Linked DNA regions of Macaca fascicularis. The protein of the gene in region 2 interacts with the protein of the main gene of each other region in a pairwise test. Links are inferred from orthologs where the notes say so. Each region holds a gene or a part of one and is shown on either strand. Other genes may lie near its edges.

The links.
Region 1: the proteins of MRFAP1L1 (region 2) and UBTD1 interact in binary tests that used the Homo sapiens proteins (3 or more experiments, as listed by UniProt). The two-hybrid records come from large-scale screens. The link is inferred for Macaca fascicularis from reciprocal best matches to the Homo sapiens genes MRFAP1L1 and UBTD1.

The regions. Positions count from the first base shown.
Region 1 is NC_088383.1:106,511,694-106,518,160, reverse strand, and holds the end of UBTD1 (ubiquitin domain-containing protein 1), read right to left. Parts: intron 6,098-6,467; coding exon 5,870-6,097; intron 3,864-5,869; coding exon 3,478-3,863; 3' UTR 2,797-3,477; downstream 1-2,796. Other genes in the region: ANKRD2 (ankyrin repeat domain-containing protein 2), read right to left, coding at 1,139-1,822. UniProt on the Homo sapiens protein: May be involved in the regulation of cellular senescence through a positive feedback loop with TP53. Is a TP53 downstream target gene that increases the stability of TP53 protein by promoting the ubiquitination and degradation of MDM2.
Region 2 is NC_088379.1:6,382,065-6,389,863, reverse strand, and holds MRFAP1L1 (MORF4 family-associated protein 1-like 1), read right to left. Parts: upstream 4,641-7,799; 5' UTR 4,398-4,640; coding exon 4,014-4,397; 3' UTR 3,999-4,013; intron 3,414-3,998; 3' UTR 2,471-3,413; downstream 1-2,470.

The sequences.
Region 1 (6,467 bases), on a different chromosome or scaffold from region 2:
AGCCACTGCACCTGGCCCTGTCCACAAAGGAGTCCTTGAAGGCCCTCAGAACAATTCATGAGCCCCTTGTGTTCCTCCACTTCTGATTCACACCTCTATTTAGTCATTTCTTCCCTTTGCCTTGTTTTTTAGTTGACTATGAAACCGACAAGTGGGCTAAAATGAATGCTGGGTTGGTAAAAAGAAGGCATGGTCTGGGCCTTATTGGTCCACCCATTTCTACAGCTCTGGACTCTTGGCACAGCCGACACTAGATGAAGTATTAGTTTAAATAAAATGAAGAGTAGGGGCCAGGCACGGTGGCTCACACCTATAATCCCAGCACTTTGGGAGGCCGAGGCGGGTAGATCACCCGAGGCCAGGAGTTCGAGACCAGCCTGACCAACATAGTGAAACTCCATCTCTACTAAAAATACAAAAAATAGTGGTGCATGCCTGTAATCCCAGCTACTCAGGAGGCTGAGGCAGGAGAATCGCTTGAACCCAGGAGGAAAAAGTTGCAGTGAGTCAAGATTGTGCCATTGCACTCCAGCCTGGGCGACAGAGGGAGACCCCGTCTCAAAAAAAGAATGAAGACTAGTACAAGCCAGCACCCCCTGCCACTGCTCCACTTCCTTATCCCAGAGAAAATGCAATTGCCCAGAACACCACATTCCAAAGGTCCCCCCAAGGGTGGCCAGCAGGCTGGCAAAATCCATGCTTCCTTTCCCAGCATCCCTTCCTCACTGTTCCTCACTCTCTTCTTCAGTGGCCAGACACTGGAGTTTCCCCTGCCCCAGCCTTCCAGTCTATCACTGGAGCATCACAGGGCCACACATTCCTGACAGTCCCAGGGAGTACCCAGCTGTCTGCTTTGTACAGCCACTGTCTCTCAAGGCCCAGGAGGGTGAGCACTCTTAGGAGGCCCAGCCCAGGTTCCCACCCCACTGACTCGGTTTTGGAGGCTGAAGCCTCAGTCTTCTGCTGCCAGCAATACCCTCTGCCAGTAATACCCTGAGACAGGAATGAGGCCCAACTGGGCCCCTGGGGACATCTACCCCCCTCCCCACCACAGGTGTAGCAGACAGGCTCTCCCTCCCCTTGACAGCAGCGCTGGATCTCCTCAGACTCCCTTGGGCACCTCCACCCCTGCCCGCACCTCATTCTCCTCCTCCTGTGCCAGCCGCTGCTCGATGAGCGCCGTCGCCTTCTGCACCGCTTCGGAGTCCTCCATGGTGCCGTCCATAACCGCCTCTGCAGGCCACAGCGCCTCGGGGGCTTTATAGGCCAGAGCACCCACCCCTGCCCAGCTGGGCGCCTTTGCCATGAGCTCACTGGCCCAATTCTCCACCTGCCTCCCCCACCTGTCACCTTCACCTCGGGCAGCCCCAGGGAGCAGGGGGAGCCAGGGCCAGGGAACAAGGCCAGTTGCCCCGCCAACTCCTGGCCTACTAGAGCTGGAGGGCACCGTGTCCCAAGAGCAGGGCTGCAGGAAGGAGCCTCTCCAGCCTCTGTCCTGAGCGCTTGGGCCTGGCTGGGCCTTAGCCAAGGCAGCTGGGCTGCACAAGGGACCTGCCGGCTGCATGCTCCAGCCCAGATGACAGTGCCCCCTGCTGGATGCCTGGAAACCCTGCTCAGCCAGCTCCAGGAAGAGGGCCTGAAAACCAAACGTGGGGACCCAGGACAGTTCTGTACTCCCAGGCTGTCCTGCAGACAGGCCCTGCTGGCTGTGAGGAGGATCACACTCTACTTGTCCAGCCCAGGGCCGTGGTAGCAGGAAGGGCAGTTGTCTCCCTCTTTGATCACAGCTCACGCTGCCCTTAGGCTCTCCGGGGTCCCACATGCTCCCCAGTTAAGCACCACTGCATTTGGCTGGGTGACTTTTAGTCACGAACAAACCTTATCAAATCTGTCTCCTCCCTTGGTAAGTGCTCAGGGAACCTCTGCAGGGCTTACAGAGTCTTGCTTCAACAGAGGGGTCTCCGGAAAGCACTAAGCCCAGCTGGCAAGGAGCAGCAGCTACTCTGGATCCTCCTGCCCTCCCAGGGTTTCCTTGCCAGGCCCAGACAGTACTAGACTTCCCTGGCCAGGAGGCTGCCCATGCTCACTGAGAAGGAAAAATACTCCCAACTGGAGCAAAATCAGATCTGTACTTGCTCAGTTCCACTGAGCTCACTGTGACTCAGGTTAACCTGCTAGGGAACTGCAGACACCCGGCCCTGTGCTTCTGTAAGGCTCACCTGGCTGGTGGCTGCTCTTAGCTAAATAGCCTTATATAAGATTCCCCTCTCTTCAGATACGCACACATTCCCCTAGGAAGCATGAGGAACTGGTTCCTTTTCCTCTCCGGTTCCCTTGCTGGGAATCTGACACAAACCTCTGACACATGATCTAAATCTGTCAGAGATTTTGCTTTAACATCACGATGGGTACAGCGTCTCCAAGGGCCGGAAACGAGCCCCGCCGCAGGAGCAGACCACCTTCCTGAGGTGCTGTCTTCGCCTTGCAAGCACTTTCACATCTGTCTTCCTGCGTAATCCTCCCAGCAACTGATGGAGGAGGCAGGGCAGGTAGCATGGCTCTGCTTTAAAGAAAAGCAAAGAGGGTTCAGAGGTTAAGTGGCTTTTCCTGAGGACTCATGAGGACGCCAGGGGAGCTGGGATCAGGGCCCAGAAGACTGGCAGTTCCAGGCTCACTCTGCTGGAGATGGCATGCCCAGAGCAGCTGGGGAGGCCAGGCATCCACCTGTTCCCATACCAGAACAGCTCCAGGAGCCCCACAGGGCTGCAGGAGAACTCAGTCAAATGCCAGGCAAGCGAGAAGGAGCAAAAGGCTTTATTGATAAATATGCAGATATGTCTGTCCACAGGGACCTGCTGTGGGGGCCACGACAAGGCTGCAGACCTCCCACTGCCTGGGTTATAGCCAGAACATGGCCCTGTGCAGACCCTGCCACGACAGCCCAGCCGTCCACCACCCGCCTCATCTCTGCCAATTGTGCTGGGGGCAGAGAGAGGCAGAGGCCCGCCTCAGGCTTCCCGAGCCCTGGGGCTCACGGGTGGTTCCCTCCCTTCCAAGAGTGGCACTGTGCCCAGGGGAGAGCCAGGGGATGGGGGCAGAGGAGGGAGACAGCAGCTGCTTCAGACCCTGAGCAGAAAACCGGAGTGAGCACAGCTGGCAGCACCAGATGACAGATCTGGGCTCCAGGGGCCTCCTGGCTGGCCCTTGTGGCTCGAACCTGCTGCGGGAGAGAGGCAGGGTGAGGGCCCCATTCGCCTGTTCTCTGACAAGGTTGCAAGGCCTGTGTGTGGCCGCCTGCTCCCTGGGTACCGGGAACTGGTGGCACGTAGTGCCCTGAAAGGCAGGGTCCCTTCACAGCTCGCCCATCAGCCAAACTGAGGGGAGGGCCCCTGCAGAAAATGACAGTACTGGAAGGCAGCAGCAGGGCAGAGGCCTAGTGCTCCAGGCGGGGCCTCTTCCCAGGGGTCCGTGGGCCCATCAGTCCTGGGGTGGTGGGGGCTGGTTGATGATGACCTGGATGACAAAATCTTTCTGGATCTTGGTCTCCTGGAGCCGTGTGCGGTCTGTGAGCAGCTTCCCGGAGAAGAACCACCGCTGCCACGATGGCTCGATGCCCTCCTGGGCATGCAGCTGCCTCTTGAGCTGCCCCACCGTGTCGGGCAGGCTGGCGCTGAGCCTCACGTCCTTGCCTGTGGACAGGCGCACCTTCAGCGGGAACTCACGGCGCACGCTGGGTGGGGGCTCGGGGGGCTCCAGGCTCTCCTCCTCCGTGTGCTCCAGGAGCAGGTTCACGGGCGGTGACAGGCAGTAGATGGGCAGCTGGTAGCGATTGCCCAGCTCATCGTAGCATTCACAGAGGGTGCCTACAGGAGAGGCAGGGCTGTCAGAATCAGCTTGGGGATCCACTATCATGGATTAAATGTTTGGGTTCCCCCAAATTCATATAGTGAAACTCTAACCCCCAGTGTGACTGTATTTCGACACAGGGCCTATAGAGAAATACTTAAAGTTAAATGAGGTCATAGGGTGGGGCCCTGACCCTCTGGTCTGCTGATCGGAAGGATGGTTCTTTTTTTTTTCTTTTGAGACAAGATCTCCCTATGTTGCCTAGGTTGATCTCGAACTCCTGGGCTCATGCAATCCTCCCACCTCAGCCTCCCGAGCAGCTGAGACTACAGGTGTGCTCCACTGCCCTGGCTTATAGTTCTTGTAGAGACACTAGAGCACTATCTCACTCTCCACTCACTCCCCATGTGAGGACACAGCAAGAAGGCAGCCACCTGCAAGCCAGCAAGAGAGTCTTCACCAAAACCTGAACTGGCCAGCACCATGATGCCAGATTTCCCGGCCTCCAGAACTGTGGGAAATAAATGTCTCTTGATTAAGTCACCCAGCATGTGGTATTTTGTTACAGTAGCCTGAGCAGACTAATACACCTGCCATGGCCACCCCACAGTCAGATCTCCCTAGGACAGCCTGATGACTAGGTGTACAGGACTGGAGTCAGGAATACCTGAGCTGGCATCCCAGCTCCACCAGGTGCTGGCTTTTTCATCCTGGCATATTATTTTTCATTTCTTCACATGTGCCAGATGCTGGGGTTACAGGAATGAATGAAACAGCACAGCTCTGCTTTCCATGGGCCTTAGTGTCCTTACTGGTAAAATGTAATGCATGCAGAAATATGTTTATTGTCTCTTGAGCACCTACTAAATGCTGGGACTGGACTAAATCATGTTATATGTATCTTGCTGAATCCTAATAATTATCTCCCCTTTACAGTTGTAAGACACTCAGGCTCTAAATTTGAGAAGCTCCTTGCTAAAGGCAACATAGTTAGGAAAGGGAAACATTCAGATTGAAACCCAGGTTTGTGACCAGGCACAGTGGTTCCCACTTGTAATCCCAGCACTTTGGGAGGCCAAGGCGGGCAGATCACCTGAGGGTGGAAGTTCAAGACAAGCCTGACCAACAAGGAGAATCCCTGTCTCTACTAAAAATACAAAATTAGCTCGGCCTGGTGGCGCATGCCTGTAAACCCAGCTATTCAGGAGGCTGAGACAGGAGAATCACTTGAACCTGGGAGGCGGAGGTTGCAGTGAGCCAAGATCGCACCATTGCATTCCAGCCTGAGCAACAAGAGTGAAACTCCATCTCAAAAAAAAAGAAACTCAATTCTGTGATTCTAGAGCTCCACTGTTACCCTCTGCTTTACATGGCCCCATAAGGCTACTATGAACTTATGTGAGCTAATGCAGTGGAAGTTTCTAGATCAGTGTCCAGCACATAATGACCCAATAAAAGGTCAGTGCCTTTGGGAGGTCGAGGCCAGTGGATCACTTGAGCTCAGGAGTTTGAGACCAGCCTGGCCAACATGGTGAAACCCGGTCTCTATTAAAAATACAAAAATTAGCCAGGCGTGGTGGCACATGCCTGTAATCCCAGCTACTCAGGAGGCTGAGGCAGGAGAATTGCTTGAACTCAGGAGGTAAAGGTTGCAGTGGGCTGAGATCCCACCACTGCACTCCAGCCTAAGCGACAGAGTAAGACTCCATCTCAAAAAAAAATAATAAAAAATAAAATAAAGGTCGGTGCCTTGGATGTTCTAGGGTCCCAAAATGCATTTGTGACACTGCTTTACAAGTTTGTTGATGTCTTTCTGTCGTGTCATTAGGCAAGCACAGACTGTGTCTCATTTTCTCATTTTCCTTGTGTACCCACTCCTGGTCCATGCTCAGTAAGGGTTGCTTGAAGGAATGAACACGTGAGTAACCACCTGCCCCACCGCTCCACACCCCTCAACACCCTCAAACTGTGCTGGTGACCCCCGAGTTCCAGCGGGGATAAAGCCCTGGCCCTGTCCACTTACCATGAGGCAGGGTGATGCTGGCTCCATCCAGGATGGCCTGGGCCAGCTCGTGGTCGTTGGCTTCAGCAGCATAGGCGGCGGCCTTGAGGGCATCCCAGATCTCCTTGCGGCCCTCAAAGGCAGGCGCTGTGTCCCAGAACTCATCCCGTTTGCTCCGCAGCTGCCCGTCAGTCATGGGGTAGTCGCTCTTCCACTTGAGCCGCTCTTTCTTCAGGGGCTCATTGCGTCCTGGGCAGGACAGAAGCAGAGGCTCAGCATCTCTAAAGCTACTTGAGCTGCAACCTGCCCTCCCCCTCCTCTACCCTCCCAGGCCAGACCCTGAAACCCTGCTGCACTGGCTACTAAGTATTCAGGTCTCTGAAGCCCTTCCTAAATAGCAGGGAAGAGTCAGGAAACTTCACATAACCAACCTAGGGACATAAAATAATTGTGTCAGCAAAGCATATGCTACCATTGTTTTTGTTGCTTTTTTTTTTTTTTGAGATGGAGTTTCACTCTTGTTGCCCAGGCTGGAGTGCAGTGGCATGATCTCAGCTCACTGCAACCTCTGACTCCCAGATTCAAGCGATTCTCCTGCCTCAGCCTCCTGAGTACCTGG
Region 2 (7,799 bases):
GGCCGGGCGCGGTGGCTCAAGCCTGTAATCCCAGCACTTTGGGAGGCCGAGACGGGCGGATCACGAGGTCAGGAGATCGAGACCATCCTGGCTAATATGGTGAAACCCCGTCTCTACTAAAAATACAAAAAACTAGCCGGGCGAGGTGGTGGGCGCCTGTAGTCCCAGCTACTCGGGAGGCTGAGGCAGGAGAATGGCGTAAACCCGGGAGGCGGAGCTTGCAGTGAGCTGAGATCCGGCCACTGCACTCCAGCCTGGGCGACAAAGCGAGACTCCGTCTCAAAAAAAAAAAAAAAAAAAAAAGAAAAATAAAATAAGACAGAGAGTAATAGGGGATGGCAGTGCTATTTTAAAAAGAGTGGCATGGGAAGACCTCTCTGGTATTGTAACATCTGAGCAGACTAGAAAAGTGGCACAGTGAGCCATACGGATATTGCACATTAAAAATATTTTCAGAAAACACAAAACTCTGGGATGAAGCAGTCAAACAAAACATTATTGAAGACTCAGCCATCACTAGCCAGCCGATGAAAGTGAAGGTTAAAGAATTTGCCCAGTCTTTTGGAAGAAAGCACAGAATTTCAGATTTTAGAGCAAGGGGAGGTTGGGCATGAATGACTCACACATGACAGACCAATGACTTTCAGAGCTACTAACAGAAGCCAATCCAAATTTTCTAGATGACTTTGAAGTTGTTAAAATTCCACTGATAACATCATTCAATGAAAGGAAAATGTGTAAGTTAAATAGGAAATCGAGACAAAACTCTCAACGTCTCTAAATTATTTTTTCATCACAGCATGGGTTAAGACAATTAGCCTGTCACTACAGTGCTCTGCCTAAGAGTCAAGGCTCAAAAATGATTCAGAACACTCTTTAGGCTCTAAATTTGAAGGAGACTTAGGAAAGAAAGAAAAAAAAAACCCCCTAGGATACTGAAGAGATGAAATGCAATCCTACGTATGAATATAATCTATGGTCAGTTAATCGAGGGGAAAAACATACATATACATAGTATATATGCACACATGTATATGCATATAGCACATATACAGTATGTGTGTGTGTGTGTCTATGAGTGTGTATGTATAGGACTCAGTTTTTTCACCCCCAAAGCATTTAAATCTGTCAGGTAACTTGTAAATAACAGCTTTCGCAATCAAGATCCACAATATCCCAAAGAGCAGCTGCTCCTTCAGCCAGCTCCTGGAAGTAAGAGAATATGGAACAACTCACCTACAATGTATTAATAGATCAATATGAATAACAAAAAAAAATCCTCGGGTGTTGCAAGCCACTAAGGCTTTGGGGTAAACTGTTACAGCAGTTTAGTCTAGTTGACTGATACAGAAAGACACCAAGTCTTGGCTCCAGAAAAGCCTAGCTGGTCCTTCCCACTCATTCTGCCCCAGTTCAGGCCCTCACTTCCCATCTCTACTTCTGCACCTGCCGCTACCTTATAGCCCACACTCACATTAATCCATACCCAGTCTTGAGTAATCTTTCTAAACTACAGATGTGACAGCCATTTCCCTGATTATCAGAAATTATGGCTCCCCAGCTGTACTTCTCGTTTTTACTGAAAACAGACAGGCAGGCACATGAGCAAGGATCTTAGATATCACGACAAAGCCGGAAACAGCTTCTGTGATTTTTCTGTGCTCAGGTACTTGATTTTTAAAATGCCTATTTTACACATTAATCCAAAACGTGTATCTGAGCTTATTACGATCATATTTTTACGAAATTAGATGTAGTAATTCTGGAAACTGTACCATGCCTACGCTATGGCTCTGAGCATCCACTAGCACTCTGTGAGAAAACATGCCAGGGTGAAGAAACCTCACTCAAGTACAGGTTTATGAAGATCAACTAATTCCTTAACGAAGATCTCTTGGCCCCGCCTGCCAGTTTCACTCTGTCTCCCACAACCCCCTCCAGGCTCCTTAACATCCAGCTCACTGGCCGTCTCCCCAGTGCTGGAACTCAAAAGGCTTTTGCTCACTTTGATCCTTATGCCTTATATGTCTTCATTCATTTCTACTTTTCAGGCCCAGGTAAGTCACCTGCTCTGAATTCACACACTTCCCTACTAAGAGTTGACTCCCTCCTCAGGGCTCCCACATGATATCCACACACTCTATATCGCAATTCCTTGTTTCCATTTCTGTCCCACACCTTCGTCCCATCCATGTCTCACCTTTATGTTCCTAGTGCCTTGGATAAGATATGAAGCACGTTACATTCCCACTGGTTGACTAAACACACTTCTGCTGCTGAAAAGCAGGGGCTTGGCCCAGAGGATAGCCGAAAAGTTTTTCTCTTCAGAACTGAGTGTTCCGTCAGCTCATCTCCACAGCACCTTCCAGAAATAATTCTCCCTCAGTTAAAGGCTTACCAAGAGCCTTTAACTACAAGCAGTTCAACCCCATTTGATGACACTCAGTGAAGAACATCCATTTCAAAAAGATTGATTTATGATTCTTTTATTAACACACACAGGAGGGGCTTTGGTCATGTGAACAAAAAATTTATTTTTTAAAAAAGGCTTTTTAGGTCTTTGTTTTTCAAGGCAAATTAATACTTACTATACGTTTGACTTTGACCTCCAATCTGACAGGTCTACTACCCTGATGAACTGGAAGAGACTTTCCAGGCCCTGATAATGTCTTTTCCTTTCTCTGGCCTCTTAAAGCTCTTTGTAGACTGTCTCTTCGATGCCATTCTCTGATGCCCCTGTAATGTGTGAGGGTATTACGACAGTTCCTAATCAAACTGCCTTGTCATAAAAGGTCAGCTATGTGGTCTAAATCAACTCACCTGACAGGTTACACAATATATATCAGACAATGTGCCACAAAACATAGCTCTCCTCTTTCATCTCACAGAGGAACTAAAGTTCCAAAATATATACAAAACCACCTTCCATCTCCAACTGTCTTCTCGTTCTTCCCAGCTTTATGCAAAGCAGTCTCATTAATACATTCTTCACCAGGCTCAACCAGGCAGCGTAGTATCTTCCACTGCACCTCTAAAGTTGGAAGATTCTGATCCCAAGTCTTGACGTGTTCCAAAAAACGATCAGGTCACAAAGGTAACAGCAAAATACAAGGCCATGCCCAACATTTCAAAAACACAGCGAAGTAACAAGAATAAACGTGACCACGAAAACAACTTAATTAAGCCCCATTTCTCTTGTGAAAGTATTTCTTCGACAAAAGTTGTATTTCCAGAACCAAACACATTTGATGATCTAAATCCATATCGAGGTCATCAATCACTGACCATAAGGGAGACTGTTACATGGGGGTAAAAAACATACAAAAACAAAACAGAGAAAATGACAAGCTGTTTCAGTTTCCTCAAGGTGTCAGTTCATCCTTACCAGTTGACTACAGTCCTCAGCTGTGAACCTAAAGCACAATTGGGAGAAATTTACCATGAAGACATTGACTCTCAAAGTTCCATATCTTGATGTTAAAAATAAATGTGAACCACCCAGAAGAATGCCACTTCTTTGAGACACGGTCCTCTGACATACCTGTCTCATAGAACAGTCTGGAAATTTCAGGTAATGGCCTCTGGCTTTACTCTTTTATTTCTTTCCCTGCGTTCTCAGCCTGCGTTCCATTGTGCTCCACAGCCTAGGTCTTCTGTGGCTTTCCCCAAACTCCCTTAGTGCCGAGACAGGTCTACTTCCTGGCGACTGCCCTATTAGAACTGACTTACGTTTCACAAAAACAAACCCGAAGTTACTTTTATTTTTCTCTAATTACCAGTGTGGGAGGGCGAGGCCACAAAAAAACGGTATACTAACACCTAACAAAACCAGCACGCATTCTTTCCTCTTGACCCCAACTTTGTTCCCAATGCTCAATTTTTGATGCGATAAAATGGGGGATGCAGGCCTAGAACATAACTTTTTACAGGGCGCGGTTTAACCATGCTTAGGGGGACTACTGAGTTCCATCCAAGCTCCCGCGAGTTTCCGACCTTACCGCCGATCTCCTCCTTCAAGAAGACTCGCTTCTCTCTATTCGCCAGACGAGCTCGACCAGCATCTCTGCCATCTTCGCAATCTCCTTGGCCTTCTCCTCAGCCTTCTCGCACAACTCCGACACTCTCTCGTCGGCTTCGCCACTCGGGTGCTGCACGTGATTGAGGGCGCTCTCCTCCGAGGCCTCTACCTGCGTTTTGATCTGGATGAGCATATTGTCCATCTCCCACAGCTTGCTCCTGGTTCGCAGGTACGCCCGCCCGTGCTCGCGTATAAGAGACGCGATGTCCTCGCGCATCTCGTTGATGACCGGGAGCAGGAACTGCTCGAAGTCCTCCTCCGGCTCCAGCACCTCCACTTCCTCAGGCGCTTCCACCTCGTCTATGTCCAGGGGCCGCATCTCCTCCTGCCGCTTCTTCAGTACCGGAGGGGCGTTCTTCTTACCGGAACCCCCCAGGGACTGGAGATCAGCAGTGATTGCTGGAGGCTGAGCCCACACGCTTTGTCAATAGTACTCCCGAATTATCTTTACTTTTTTTCTTCCTTTTAATTGTAAGCCTTTAGCTTTAGAACTCCGTGGGAAGAATCGCCGTGGATACACACAGCAAAGCGACCTGCGAAATGGAGTCGCAGCCGTCAACTCGCCCTCGGCCTTTTTGCGGCCCTTTCACGACAGAGCCGGGCTCCTTTACGGTCACGCCTTCGGCGAGACCCAGTAGCGGGCGCGCGCACGTAAAGGGGTCTCGGGCGCGCGCATGGCTATCCCCGTCAGCTTCCCGGCGCCCCGCCTCGCCCTCTTCTCTAATTTAGATTGGTGGCGGCAGGTTTGTTCGCGTCTTCCCCTAAAGCTTCCCTTCAGAGGGGTTTTACTTTTATTATTATTTTTTTAAAGTAAAAATGACCCTCCCTTCCCCATATTTGAATAAGACTGGCTGGCGTTCACAGCGCTTACTATCTAAGCATGCAGAAGCTTGGATTAATTTATATGAATTCACTTAGCCCTCACAACGAACCTATAAGAGAAGTAAAAACCGGGCTAAAAGTCGTGATTTGAGCTCAAAGCAATGTGGGTCCACAGTCCCTGCTCAGTGTTCTAGAATGGAACTCGTCCCTCTGTCCTCCCCACCCCTGGCTCATACTTTTGTTCTGGGGGGAATTTCGCTCGCTGCCTTGGGTGGTTCTGGCCCGTGATTTTTGGTCTCTCTTCAGAGTCTGTAAGGTCCTCAAGGTAAAGGGCAACTTCTGTTTCAGTTCTGTCCTCCGCCCTTTCCGTCAGCCTGGCGTCAAGCAGGGCCTTAGAGAATGCTTTAGAGAGAGGAATTGCCTAGTACCTAAGTGCCTCTACCAGACTGGAGGCTGTTTGGGGACAGGTTCTGGTCTTGGTCACCTTTATGTCCCTCCACACACAAGACCTGAAAATGAGCAGGGACCTAGTAAATGTGGCTTTGATCGTCAATACGTTTTGATCACCAACCTAATGCCATTGTGGAATGGAAGAAGTCTATTGCTAGGCTTAGTCACCCAGTGCCACACTAGTAGTAATATGAGTGTGTGTAGAGGGGGGATCCTTCTTACACAAGTGCCACAGATCAGAACTTCAGTTTTCCAGTCTGATAAAGACCAATGGCCCCAGCCTGAATATCTGTCAGTGGGAAGAGGGATTTGTAAGATGACGTGTGCGAAACAGTTTTGCAAACACCAACATTCCAGCAGATGTTCATCAAAAGAACATTAAGAGGGAAAGAGCAAGGCACCGTGAAAAAAGATATTTGACTCATGCAGAATATATTGAGAACTCCTATAGATCAAGAAGGAAAAGACAAAATTTTAAAACAGGCAAAAGACATAGGCTGGCACTTCACAAAAGAGAATATCCGAATGGCCAATAAGTATATGAAGAGGTTTTCAACTTCATGATTCAACAGGGAAATGCAGATTAGAAAGCACAACGAGGAAGCACTGTACATCCACTAGAATTACTAAAATTGAAAATACTGACAATACCAAGTATTGGGGAAGATGTGGAACAACTGGAACTCTTATACATTCTTGATGGATGTCTTAGTCTAGTCTGAACACCATAACAAAATACTATAGACTGGGTGGCTTAAACACAGACATTTATCTTCTCACAGTTCTAGAGGCCAGAAGTCCATGATTAACGTGCCAGCAAATCTGGTTTCTGGAGGTGAGGGCTCTCTTCCTGAATTGCAGATGGCCGCCTTCCTGCTGCAGTCCTCACATGATCTCTTCTTTGTGCATGCAGTGTTGTGGGGTACAGGAAGGAGTGCTCTCTTGTGTCTCTTCTTATAAGAACATGAAGCTATAGGATCATGCCCCCACTTGTATGACCTTACTTACTGCTTTACTCCAAGTATAGCCACACTGGGGGTTAGGGCTTCAACATAAAAATATTGGGGGACACATATATTCAGCCCATAAAAATGGGAATGTAAGTTGTTACAATAATTTTGGAAAACTATTTGGCAGTATCTACCGAGATTAAACATATACCAATCCTATGTTCTAGCAAATTGACACCTTGTTATACACTTAAGAGAGTTTGAATGCAATTGTTTATAAAAATACATATACAAGAATATTCACAGCAGCTTTATTATAATAGCCCCAAAGTTAAAACAAACCAAATGTTCATCAACAGGAGAATAAATAAATAAAATGAATAAATGGTAGCATATTCCTTCAATAGTTTATTACTGCATAACCAGTTACCCCAACATTTAGCAGCTGTAAAATATTTATTATCTGTCATAGTGCATTTAGGCTGCTCTAACAAAATACCATAAGGTGGCCAGCTTCTCACAGTTCTGGTGAATGGGAAGTCCAAGATCAAAGTGCTAGTAGATTCTGTCTGGTGAGAACTAGTATTTTGGTTCATAAATGGTTCCTTCTTGCTGTGACCTCAGAGGATGGAAGGAGCAAGGGGTCTCTCTTATACGTCTTTTGTTTTGTTTTGTTTTGGAGATGGAGTTTCACTCTTGTCGCCCAGGCTGGAGTGCAATGATGCAGTCTCTGCTCACTGAAACCTCTGCCTCCAGGGTTCAAGCGATTCTCCTGCCTCAGCCTCCTAAGTAGCTGGGATTACAGGTGCCTGCCACCATGCCTGGCTAATTTTTGTATTATTAGTAGAGATGGGGTTTCACCATGTTGGCCAAGCTTGTCTCAAACTCCTGACCTCAGGTGATCCACCTGCCCCAGCCTTCCAAAGTGCTGGGATTACAGGCGTGAGCTGCCGCACCCAGCCCTCTTATACTACTTATAGACAGAGTCTTGCTCTTTTTGCACAGGCTAAAGTGCAGTGGAATGAGCATAGCTCACTGCCTCAAACTCCTGAGCTCAAGTGATCCTCTAGCCTCCACCTCCTGAGTAGCTGGGACTACAGGCACATGGCACCACACCCAGCTTAAACAAAAATTTTTTTTGTAGAGACGGGGGTCTTGTTATGTTGTCCAGGCTAGTCTCAAACTCCTAGCCTCAAACAATTCTCCTGCCTCTTCCTCCCAAAGTGTTGAGATTACAAGCATGAGCCACTGCAGCTGGCCTTATATCCTTTATAAGGGTACTAGTCACATTCATGAGGACTCTGACCCCATGACCAGATCACTTCCCAAAGGCCCAATTTCCTAATACCAGCACTGTGTTGAGCTGTTCTCACATTGCTATAAAGGAATATCTGAGACTGGGTAATTTATGAAGAACAAAGGCTTAATTGGCTAAGGGTTCTGCAGGCTGTACAGGAAGCATGGTGCTGGCATCTGCTTGGCTTCTGGGGAGGCTTCAG